2 linked regions of the Rattus norvegicus genome follow. The protein of the gene in region 1 binds, or shares a complex with, the protein of each later gene. Links are inferred from orthologs where the notes say so. Each region holds a gene or a part of one and is shown on either strand. Other genes may lie near its edges.

Region 1 (5,310 bases):
GACGAGGCTTCTTCACAGTTGGCGTTTGTTCTAAGAGGCTTCTGGTATCACCCAGGCGCCCAAGTTCAGGCTGCTACCTCCTGACTTAGGGACCTGGTCACAGACAGGGTCTCTGAGCAGGAGGAGGGGAGAACTAATCCTCTGCTCTTATATTGGGCTCTCTTCAGTTCTCATGTCTGCCACTCAAGCTCCTCTGGAACTCTTTAAAAATTTACTTCTCTTTATATGTGGGTGTTTTGACTGATGTGTGTCTATGCACTGTGGCATGCAGTGCCCACAGGGGCCAGAAGAAGGCATTGGATTCCCCTGAGACTGCAGTCACGGGTGGTTGCGAGCTGCAAGGGGGCGCAGGAATCAAACCCAGGTAGCCTGCAAGAGTAACAAGTGCTCTCACCACTGAGCCATCTCTCCAGCCCCTCTACTTGTGAATTACAGAGTAACATTTAATGCTTTAGAATTTAATCTGTCTCTGTGTTCTATTTTTTCCTATTTCCTGCCTATTCTTCTTTCTCATTTCCCTGTGCCAGAATTCATTACATAGCATAGACTGGTCTGGAATGAGTAATCCTCCTGCCTCAGCCTCTTGAGTACTGGAATTAAAGGTATGAACCACCATGCCTCACTTTGTCTTTCTTGCCCCCATGAACTTGAAGATGCCTCAGGATGGCCTTTTGCAGCAGTCCTTAGAGACCTGGTCTGTATGGTGGTCCAGCCTGGGGTCAGCGTCAGCTTCCTCTCCTTTGGGAGCAGACCCTAAACACTGTCATCCCAGCCTCCTCTTTCCTGGTTTCTCCCTTGTAGGACAGCTGTTTGGTATAAGTTTTCTTCTTTCTGTGCCCCTGACAGCAGCTATCCGTGATGAGGAACTTGGTTTAGTTCATGGCCAGATTCCCAGTTCTAGAATGGCTCTGATGCCAAGCTCTCTCTCACCTTTGGATATAGCTCTGTGCACAGGAGTCTCTGAGCCTATAGCCCTCCTCCTGTCTGAGTCTTCTCCCTTATTCCCATCTCCTTCCTTCTCCGCTTCTCGCACGGTTTCCTCACCTCGTCTCCCAGTGCTTACAGCAGGATAGTAGTCTAAGTTACTGTGTAACATACTAATTTATTGAATTCCATTGTGATCCAAGTATAAAATGAAGACTTAGATACATCTAAAGCATAATTAAGTCTTCTCACTGTAGAGCCTCCCACCTGTGTGTTGTGTAGGGACTGCATTTACTCAGTAGTCACCAGATCTGGGGACCCACAGTGACCTCCGTGTGGGTGCAGGTGCATGTGTGCGCTCCCAGCCCCCATTCTCTTACACTCTTACCTGACAAAGGAAGCGAGCAGAGAATCACACAGGCAGCAGGGAGCACACTTCTGTTAGACCCACCAAGGAGGTCCCTGGTCCTTAAAGGGTGCTCGACAGAAGTACAGATGGGGAGCCTCGAGCCGGTTTGGTCTGACATATCTGTATCTTTTGTGTGTTTCCATCCCTTTCCTGTACAGATGGTTTTGGTCTGTGCTGCCCTCCTCAAACCTGCCTCCTTTCTGTTTGAAGAGTCGGGATCCACACTGAAATCTAAGCTGTGCTCTGGAGCTCAGTCTTTTGAAGGCGCTGTGGCCCAGTGTCTTCAAGACTGAGCCCACCCCGCAGCAGGGCCCCCAACCCCAGTTTGGTTTCCAGTGGAAGTGGTTATTGTGTTTGGCTGATTTTAGGTTTGTTTTTTCTTTTTTAAGATAAAGTGATTTAAACATTAAAGGAATTTAGAAACTTAGTTACCCAGTGCATACCTGCCAGACTTCTAAAACCTCTGTGATGTTTTTGCATTCATCTAAGTTTTCTTTATATTGCACAGTGTGAGTGGCCTGAGGCATTGGCTCTGTCTGGAAAGTGCTTGCTCTGAAAGCATGAGGACCCAAGTTCAAGCCTTAGAGCTGGGAGGTGAGGCAGGAGGATCCTTGGGGCTCGCTGGCCAGCCCGCCTCCAAAAATCAGCAGAGCGATTGAGGAAGACAGTGAGGCAACCTCTGCTCTTCATGCGCGCACACACACACACACACACACACACACACATACACACACAGTCACATACACAGTCTCACACAGTCACACAGAAAATGTAGAAAAGGAAAGTGTTCTGTGCTTAGGGTCTAAAGTCAGAATTCAACAGGAAATTAGAAGGGCATAGTTGTTCATAAATTCTCTATGTCTCCCTAGAGCTTGAAATGTTCACCTACCAAACTCTTATTATAGAATGCTTAGAAACTCCCAACTGGCAGTGGTGGCTCACACTTTTAATCCCAGCTCTTGGGGGACAGAGGGAGGCAGACCTCTGAGTTCAAGACCAGCCTGGTCTACAGAGGGAATTCCAATACACACTCAGGACTACACAGAGAATGCCTATTTTGAAAAATCAATCAATCAATTAATCAATCAATAAGCAAGCTGGAACTGGAATGGTGGTTGGCAGTTGAGAGCACTTCCTGCTCTTTCAAAGGACCTGACCTTGATTCCCCAGCATCCACAAGGCACTTCACAACCTCTTATAACTTCCGCTCCAGGCATCTGATGCCCTCTTCTGGCCTGCTTGGGTACTGCATGCACATGGCATTCATTCACACACATCTTTAAAGCAGTCAGAAAATGATGCCGTTAGCACATGTGAGCGTGTTATTATTGTTCCAGGGAGTGGCTGTATTTGTTGTGCCATGAAATGTTGAATCCGTATTATGGACTCTTCCAGTATTCCACGGACAATATTTACACACTGCAAATCAACCCAGATTCTTCTATCAACCCTGTGAGTATTACCATGAGGAGTTGAGAAATCCAGCTGTAGTTCTAAGGCAAACCTGGGTCCCCTAGTTATGGGTGACTTAGAGAAAATGCTGGGGAGAGCTCAGGGCAAAGGCGGGGAGTACTGACTGACTGGACCAGACTCTAGTCAGGTTTAGATCTGGAACCTGCAGGGGAGGACTGTGGGTCTGAGCTGCTCTGTGCCTGAGTCCTTTACCCTTTGAGGGGACTCTGGTATAGTGGGAGATGGTGGTCTTTTGGATGTCATCTTAAGAGCTAGGTTACCAAGTCAATTCGCTGATCAAAATTGGAAAAGTTTCATAATTAGCTCTCTTGGGCCACAGCTGTGAGCATTCCACATGCGGTAGGCACAGGGACACATCTAAGGGACCTCCTACACCCTGGAGGTCACAAGGCCACAGAGTTGAAATGAGGGACTATCTCTACTAGAGAATTAAAATACAAATGAACTGTGGTTGGGAAAGTGGTTCAGCCACACAAGCGTAAAGACTGACGTGAGACTGCGAATTCACTGCAGAATCCACATAGAAAGCCATATGTGACTGGGCACGGGGTTACATATTTTAATTCCAGCTCTCAGGAAGCAGAAGCAGGCCTAAGAGCTAACTCTGAGTTGGAGGCCAGCTGTAGTGAGATCAAGAATAGTTGGGGCTATGTAGAAAGACCCTGTTTTCAAACACCAAACAAACAACAAAAACACAGACGCCAGACATGGTTGTACATGCGCTGGGGAAGTGGACCTGGGTGACTCCTGGAGCGCACTGGCTGGCCAGCCTAATCTGTGAGATCCAGGTTCAGTGAAAGATCCTGGCAGCACTGGGCAGCAACTGGGGGATGAAGGTGATCTTCACATTCACCACACATGCACATCCACACAGTGAATAAACCTTTACCCAGCCTGGAAACTAAATCCTGACACGTTTTCAGAAACACACGAGCTATGAGTGCTTAAACTCCAGAGCCCCTCCAGCTGAGGAGGAAGAAGCACAGCCTTCCTAACTGTCGAGGGCTCCGCATGTTTACTTTGTACCAGGCCCCTGCACGCTAACTAAGTTCTCAGTGTTAGGCCAGGGCGTGTGTGCTGGTGCAGTTGTCATCCCAGTACTCTGAAGGCTGAGGCAGAAGGATTGTGAAGTACCAGTCCCACTTGTGTTAGGAGTGAGTGAAGCTGGAACTCAGTGGCAGCCTTCCTGTCTGGCCGTGGGTAGGTGAGGGATGGGCAGCTGAGTATATGTCCTGTTGGGTGTAGAGTCACAGGAAGCCTGTGGGAAGTGGGTATCCTCGCCTACTCGTCATCTTCCTAATGTCCGCCTGCCGTTCTCTGGCGCCCCCTATAGGACCATCTGTCTTACTTCCACTTTGTGGGTCGCATCATGGGTCTGGCTGTGTTCCATGGACACTACATAAACGGGGGCTTCACAGTTCCTTTCTACAAGCAGCTCCTGGGAAAACCCATCCAGCTGTCGGATCTGGAGTCAGTGGACCCAGAACTTCACAAGAGCTTGGTGTGGATTCTGTAAGTGTCACCATCCTTTCCCACAGCTCAGGATGCTGTTGGGTGTGCATTCTTTTGGGGGAACAGGTGTGAAACTAAAGAGAGTAACAGAATTAACTATAACAACATCCAACATTGGGTTGCAATTACAAATTAACAAAACATGTCATCATTTAATTGATTGTATTCTTTTCATAAGCTGGTTTGGCTTGTTATTAGGTTTGATTACAAATGCCAGTAACTTGCCTGGTTTCGTGGGGGTGGGGTGGATGGAGATCATGCACCCCTAAAATTTCTCAGGTGACCTGTAGAAGTTAAGAGAAAGTTTCAAGACAAAAATTCATGTTTAGTTACCTCGTTGTAGAGTTAACCAAATGCTTGCCAGGGCAGCAGGAACGGGGTAAAGTATGGCTCTGATGTGTTCCTGTAGAAGACCCAGCCCCTGACTAGTTGGGGAGGCTGCTATATGGAGTCTGGCTGGGGTGGGGTGTTCCTCCTTGGCCTCGCCTGCTCCATGGTACAGGGCTGTAGGAAGTGGAGGCTTCCCTGTGGGGAAACAGTTATCAAGAAGTAGGGCAGATAGAGAGTCAGCCTGACATTTCCAGTGCCTTCAGAGGGGAGAAGCCTTATTGTCCTGGCTGTGTCCTTTTGACTGAGCTCCCTCTTCACAGGCCTCAGCTCCTAGAGCAATTAGGTTCCCGTCCCGTGGTGTCCGTCATAGGATAGCTGAGTGATGCCCCCCCCCCCCAGAGTGGTAACCATAAAGTGAGGGGCAGAACTTAGACTGTGCCTGTCAGCGGTCCAGCCGCCAGGGCTCCCTGGCATAGGCCTAACCAGCCTTCCCCTGTGCCTGCAGAGAGAATGACATCACGCCAGTGCTGGATCACACCTTCTGCGTGGAGCACAATGCTTTTGGGCGGATCCTTCAGCATGAACTGAAACCCAATGGCAGAAATGTGCCTGTCACTGAGGAGAACAAGAAGGAGTATGTGCGGTAAGATGCAGGGCTGGCT
Region 2 (6,064 bases), on another chromosome or scaffold:
GTTTTTTTGTTGTTTTGTTTTTTAACAAATATAATTACTTTAACAATGAGGTTAATCACAATTTACAACTGTCTCAAAAATGCCCCTTTTAAAAGAGTATCCAAATTTTTATTGCCACTTAAAGAAACAACTTGCACAAGTAAAATAAATTTTTTTAATGGGCATAGTATTAGTAATTATCATTCAGGGACAGTAGAAATAGACTAGGAAAGGCCATCTCTAGTGTTACAAATTACTTCAGTGAACAGTTACATAGTACCACTGCATATCTCTCTAGGATTTTTTGTTTATATTTATTATATGTATATGGCTTGACTGGCATGTATCTCCATGTTCCCATCCCATGTCTTCACTTATATCATGCATGTTTCAACAAGGCCTTTCCTGGTGTGCCTGGCCTGGTGCCCCAGAGGCCAGAAGAGGGTGTTGGATCCCCAGGAACTGGAGTTATGGTTGTGAACTGCCATGTGGTTGCTGGGAGTTGAACTCAGGTCCTCTGAAAGAACAGTCAGTGCTCTTAACTCCTAAGACATCTCTTCAGCCTTCCTTTCAGGATTTAAATAAGAACCATGTACCGCCTTTAGCTGTCTGCATTAAAAAAAAAGCTATATTTGGATAAAATTCACAATTGTAGAATGTAGCTATTCAAAATATACACTCATATGTTTTTTGCTGTATTCACACAGTTGTGTAACTACCAGATTTATTATTAACCTTATTTTTGAGATCTTTTACCATGCTTATATCTTTCATGACCCTCCCAGGCTTTCAATCCTGCACCCCACACTCTAATTTCCTATTCTCTTCCTATGGCTTTGTCTATTACGAACATCTTGCATGAAGGAAGCAGATTATATGGGGTCTTTATTTATTAATTCGGCAGAGGGCCTGTTATTTGATTGTTTTATTTTGTTGGTCACAGTGGCCACGGTGGCCTTGAAGTTATTATAAAGCCAAGGATGATCTTGAACTTCTGAATTACAGGTGAGCACTATCCCACCCGGTTATTCCATGCGAAGGGTGGAACCGAGGCTCTCATTGGGCCCTGGGAGACAGAGGAAGTGCTCCTTTCCTTTTCCATGGTTGAATAATGCTCCCGTGTATGGATATACCCCACTCTGTCAGCAGAGGGTCTGTGGACGGGAGGGGAATGACCCTGAGTGGCCTTTAGTCAAGCTCTCTCCAGCTGTTGCCCAAGGGACCAGAGAGCAACCAACTATGTCAAATGCTGCTTTTAAGGAAAATAAGATGAGGTCCAAAAATTGACCAGTAAGTGCTCAAATAGTTTAATGAAGAAAGGAATTTAATTAGCAGAAATATTCTTATGTATAATTTATAAATGGCATTTTATGGGTTTATGGGATTTGTTGCATTTCCTTTGAATAATTAAATATGGAATACAGATATAATACTTAAATAATTAATAAGAATTTTAAGTGGAATGCCAGGCATGTAAAGGTACAGGAATAATTGGAGAGTGTCATTAATTTGTAGTGGCCTTTGGTATTTCTTTATATTGCTGGTAATGATTTTTTTCTTCTTTTGGTTTGTGGGGCATTTACTCCTAGAATAGTTCTTCTCTGAACATAACTCAACATTATGATAAGTGTCCAAGATTTCATGCCAACTTCCAGAAACTGACCAAAAAAAAAGTTGATTGTTTCAAGAGGGTGTTTTTGGTGTCTGAACAGATCAGTAAGATGTGAGCTCCTTTGTGTTTGTGTATTTTTGTTTTGTGGGGTTTTTGTTTGGGGGGTGGGGGTGGAAACAGGGGCAAGACCCTGTCATCTAAAAATTTACACCAAAAATTTATAGTACTAAAAGGGTATTTCCCAATTCAAGGCCAGCCTGGGCTAAAGGGAGAGATCCCGTTCCAAGCCGGCAAGCAAGCAAGTGAACAAAAGGGCTAGGTGGTGAAGCTCAGTTGTAAAGTTCCTTCCTGCCCAGGATGCACAAGGCCAGGTTCGATTCCCAGAATCTTATAAATAAAAATATGTGTAGATCTATAATCCCAGATCTCACGATGTGGAGGCTGGAGGAAGAGAAGTTCAAGGTCTTTTCCCCTTCAAAGTGAGTTCGGGGTCATCCTGGGCTACAAGAGACCATGTATCAAACATACAAATGGCTTTTGTCATTTGCCGCAGCAAGGGTACATACTAGAAATAAATGCATTTACCTAGCAGTTAACAGGTCACCCAGTTTGGGGCTCAGGCCACATGGAGGGCCGGTAAATCACTGGGTCAGTGATTGCAGGGCCATTAAAATGGGTTTTTAGGACGATTGGGTGGGTTTGATGGTCGTGTTTGAGAACATTTCAGAAAATAACACAGGCTTTGGAACTTGACTGGCAGCTAGGCAGGGACTACAGAGTCAGAGGCAGGCGCGGGCCGGGAATTTGGAGAGGATCCCTAAGCAGCAGCGGGCGCGCGCGGTGCGCGTGTGAGCGAGGGCGAGCGGCGGGCGGGTTGTGCGCCGGGTATTGGCAGGCGGGCTGTGGAGGCTGGGCGGTTCCGACTGCCTGACGCCAGCGCGACCAGATCAATCCAGGCTCGGGGAGCGAGCGGGCGCACCAAGGCGAGGCCAGGGCCGAGGCGCGGGGACGGCGGCCGAGAGCTAAGCGAAGCGCTGGGACGGTGACTGGGAACGGATCGGAGCGCGGGACCCGGCGCCGGGTCTCGTGCGTCCCCGCCGATGGGCGCGCCGCCGAGCCGGTAAAGCCGAGCGTACCCGAGCCGACTCGAGAGGGACTTGTCCTGTGCCGCGCGGGGCGCACCGGGACAAGGACCAGCTCCAGGGGATCCAGGGCCGGCTCCGTGGGGCATCCCGGGTGGGCTTCGGGGAAGATCGGGGACGGGCTCCGAGGGCATTAGGGGCGGGCTCCGGGGTCAATCTGGGACGTGCTCCGGGGAGGATCCGGGAGGACTCGGGGACCCGCGCTGAAGGGAATCTGGGACGAGCTCCGGGACACAGTCCCCCCCCACCCCCCATGATGGCGTCTCGCAGCCGCGAACCTGCCGCCAGACCTCTTCTCCCGTCTCCCCGCGTCTTTGTCGGGCGTGTCCAGCTCTCCGGGGACCCCCGTTCCGCATCGGGCCGCAGCCCCATTGTGTCCCCGCCCCGGCCTGCAGACCCTCGCGGGGACAGCGCTGCGCTCAGCTCGGGTCTCCCTGGATGGACGCGCGCGCCCCTGTGGGGTCCCCACACTGCCTGATTTGGGGATCGAGGTTAAGGAAAGTTCGCGGCGGAGTTCCCTCTGATTTATTCAAAGGTCTGGCCGCCTCGCGTCCCCCCCCCCCCCTCCGCCTACACCCCCTGCGTCGCCCAGTGTCGCCTCATTCCTTTCCCTTTACCGGATTCGATTGCCTCACTGCAGCGTTCCGAGCGCCGGGAACAACTGCTCTCGTCCAGACTGTCTTTGTTAGTGTTTCTGTCGCGGGGTGGGGGTGGTGGGCGTGAGAGCGCGGGCCTCTGCAGCCGCGTTGCGGACTGCGTGTGAAGGCTGCGGGGGCAGCGTCTCCCCGAGGTGCTTTGGGGAGCCAGGAGGGACCATGGCCGGCCACATCCAGACACTGTGGTAGTCGCGGCTTTTGTTTATTCGGAGGCACATGCAGTTTTTCTAAAATGCACGGCACAAAATAATCCAGCTAAGAGCTTTCCATCTGAAAATCCTAGCCCATGCCACAGCCATCTAAGAGAAAATCGTAGTAGAGTGCATGTTGTCAACCCTGGCCTCTTTCTTCCCCCTCTCTAGGGTTCTTGGGTGACATCTGAAGTTTTCAAAGCCCGGACTGAAAGGAGTTGCTTGGTTTATGTAATGTCTTCCTGTTGCTGGAGCAAAATCACAGCACGCTCTTTCCAGCATCTCTCGCTCTAAGGGCCTGTGGTGGATAATGTGCCCACACCTCAGCACAATGAGAAAACTGTTCCCTGACCAGGTTCATTTTTCATCTTGTTTATAATTACCACTTCACGCTGTACCGGAAGCTGATGAGCTGTGCTGGAACAGTTCACAGAGTCGAGGCAGAGGCAGTGGTGTTTTCAATTGGTGTGGATGTTTCACACCGGCGGCGGTACTGTGATGGAGGTTGCAGGCCTAAACAGGCTGTGCGGACTTTCGGGTGCGCCCTCCCCGCCTCTGCTTTTCTAATTTTCAGTTATACGATATTTCTGTGAAGGTGGTGCTCCATTTGTGTAAGTCTGCTTTTCTTAGGAAACTGTAAACCAGGGTCTTGAGAGATGGGTTTTCTGGGGGTGGGGATGTCAGAGGCTCCCGAGAATGATCAGGTTTCTTCAGAGGATAGGGATTTGTCCTTGATTTAGTTTTGACCCTTGCAACCATAAGTAGTAACCAAATACACTCTTACTTTTGCAGTGTCCTCTAGTTTTATACCCTTGGAGAGATGGTGGTCTTTACATTTTGGAGGAGTGACAGGGTTGTTTTTGGGGGGGGGGCAATTAAAAATGCTAAACTCTTGTTCATCTTGGAATTTCCATTCCTTTTCTGGTAAGTTCACATGAGCATTAAGAGGAAGTAAATCTTGGTCCCCAGCTACACATACTAGTTAAAAACTAAATTTCGGTTTCTAATCTTGATTTCCAGCTATTCTGGGCTCAAGATAAAAATGCAGTAATGTGGTAGATTGGAGGAAGAATAAACTCGGATGTAATTAGATGAGCGTATTTAAGCAGCAGAAGCCTCCATAATCAAGGCCGAGTTGTGTGTGTGTATAAAAGATCTCATTTGTGTGGTCTTACAAGGCTAATGGAGGCATCGCCGAGACTTTATAAATAATGTAAGTTGTGTGTAATGCAGAGTCTCCAGAGAGGCAGAGAGAGCCTTTCCAACCTGCTCGAGATCTTAAATTGATTTACAGCACTGAACTGGTGCAAAATGATACATCAGAATGACATGGGGTCAGCCTGTAAAAGTCTATGATGTCAGCCTATTAGTTCAGTCATCATAATTAAACCACATTATAGGGGCAGCTAAGCTGGAGTCTGGCGTTATCCTCCAGATATGGGTGGTACATGGATTTTGTTTACGGTAGAAAGGGGAGACGGTGAAGAACCCCCGTGTTTCTGAAAGAGGGGAATGTGTTCTGAACTGTGATTTCTGGGGTGGGGAGGGCTGCATCTTGTTAAAGGCGTAGCTTTTCATTTGATGCTCTGGGGCGGCAATGGGGACCTTTGCAGTGCCCATCTTTGTATCTGTGTGGATTCAACACGGCCTTCTGGATCCTCTGAGATATCAGAGGATGGATTGCTTCCTCGTTTCTGATCATTTGTTAGCTCTGAGCTTGCACTGTGCTGATAAGTGTGTGAGGGTATTGCCGTAACGGGTCATAGTCATCAGGCCTCCACTGAAAACACAGCAGCGACTCAGGCAGAAAAGAAAGGCCCTCGCTTTTGCCTAAGTTCTTATAGAGCGTCTTCAGTGTAGCCCAATGCTCACTGTCTAATAAGGTAGAAGCAGCCTTGTCTGTGCTGCTCAGTCATCATTTAAGATACAGTGTCGCCTGCACCACCCTCATTTCAAGTAGTCATATGTCACTACCATGCTGAAGGGAATGTACGTGGGACAGTTTTTATCCCCATAGAAAGTTCTAGACACTAGGATCTAGAGAGGTGACCTTCCTCTGTACAAATCCTTTTTTTTCCCCCAGAAAGGCAGTTTGGCAGCCAGGCCTACACAGAGAAACCCTGTCTCAAAATCCAACCAACCAAACAACCACCCACCCAACTAACCAACCACTCAACCAAAACCAACCAACCAACCAATCATCTGAACAACAATAACAACAAATTCAGTCTGGAATGATGGCTGAAGACAGAGGTTAATGTGAAGTTGGCTTTTCAGTAGATCCTGTTTGCCGTTTCTGACCATGATTTAGAGCACTAGGTAGATGGAAATTGTAGTTTTCTGTCTCCTTCTGACTTTTTAAAAGTGTGTGGTGGTTGTAACTTATTTACGCCCTGGGACTTCCCAGAAAAGTGTTGTCCCCATCTTACTGATAAAGAAACTGACGCCGAGTGACTGTGTTGCTTCAGGCCGCACAGCTGGCGA

What was found. The genes of interacting proteins can lie anywhere in the genome.
Region 2: the proteins of Smurf1 (region 1) and Smad1 are in contact, whole or in part, in an NMR structure (PDB 2LB1), measured with the Homo sapiens proteins. The link is inferred for Rattus norvegicus from reciprocal best matches to the Homo sapiens genes SMURF1 and SMAD1. Residues at the interface, in NP_065162.1 of Homo sapiens: Glu313, Val314, Arg315, Ser316, Arg321, Tyr323, Val325, Asp326, His327, Arg330, Thr331, Thr332, Gln333, Phe334; in NP_001003688.1 of Homo sapiens: Asp221, Thr222, Pro223, Pro224, Pro225, Ala226, Tyr227, Leu228, Pro229, Pro230, Glu231, Asp232.

What each region holds. Positions count from the first base shown.
Region 1 is NC_086030.1:14,827,955-14,833,264, forward strand, and holds part of Smurf1 (E3 ubiquitin-protein ligase SMURF1), read left to right. Parts: intron 1-2,670; coding exon 2,671-2,785; intron 2,786-4,139; coding exon 4,140-4,318; intron 4,319-5,153; coding exon 5,154-5,291; intron 5,292-5,310. UniProt on the Homo sapiens protein: E3 ubiquitin-protein ligase that acts as a negative regulator of BMP signaling pathway. Mediates ubiquitination and degradation of SMAD1 and SMAD5, 2 receptor-regulated SMADs specific for the BMP pathway.
Region 2 is NC_086037.1:45,414,988-45,421,051, forward strand, and holds the start of Smad1 (mothers against decapentaplegic homolog 1), read left to right. Parts: upstream 1-2,554; 5' UTR 2,555-2,711; intron 2,712-2,897; exon of another isoform or gene 2,898-3,268; intron 3,269-6,064. UniProt on the Homo sapiens protein: Transcriptional modulator that plays a role in various cellular processes, including embryonic development, cell differentiation, and tissue homeostasis.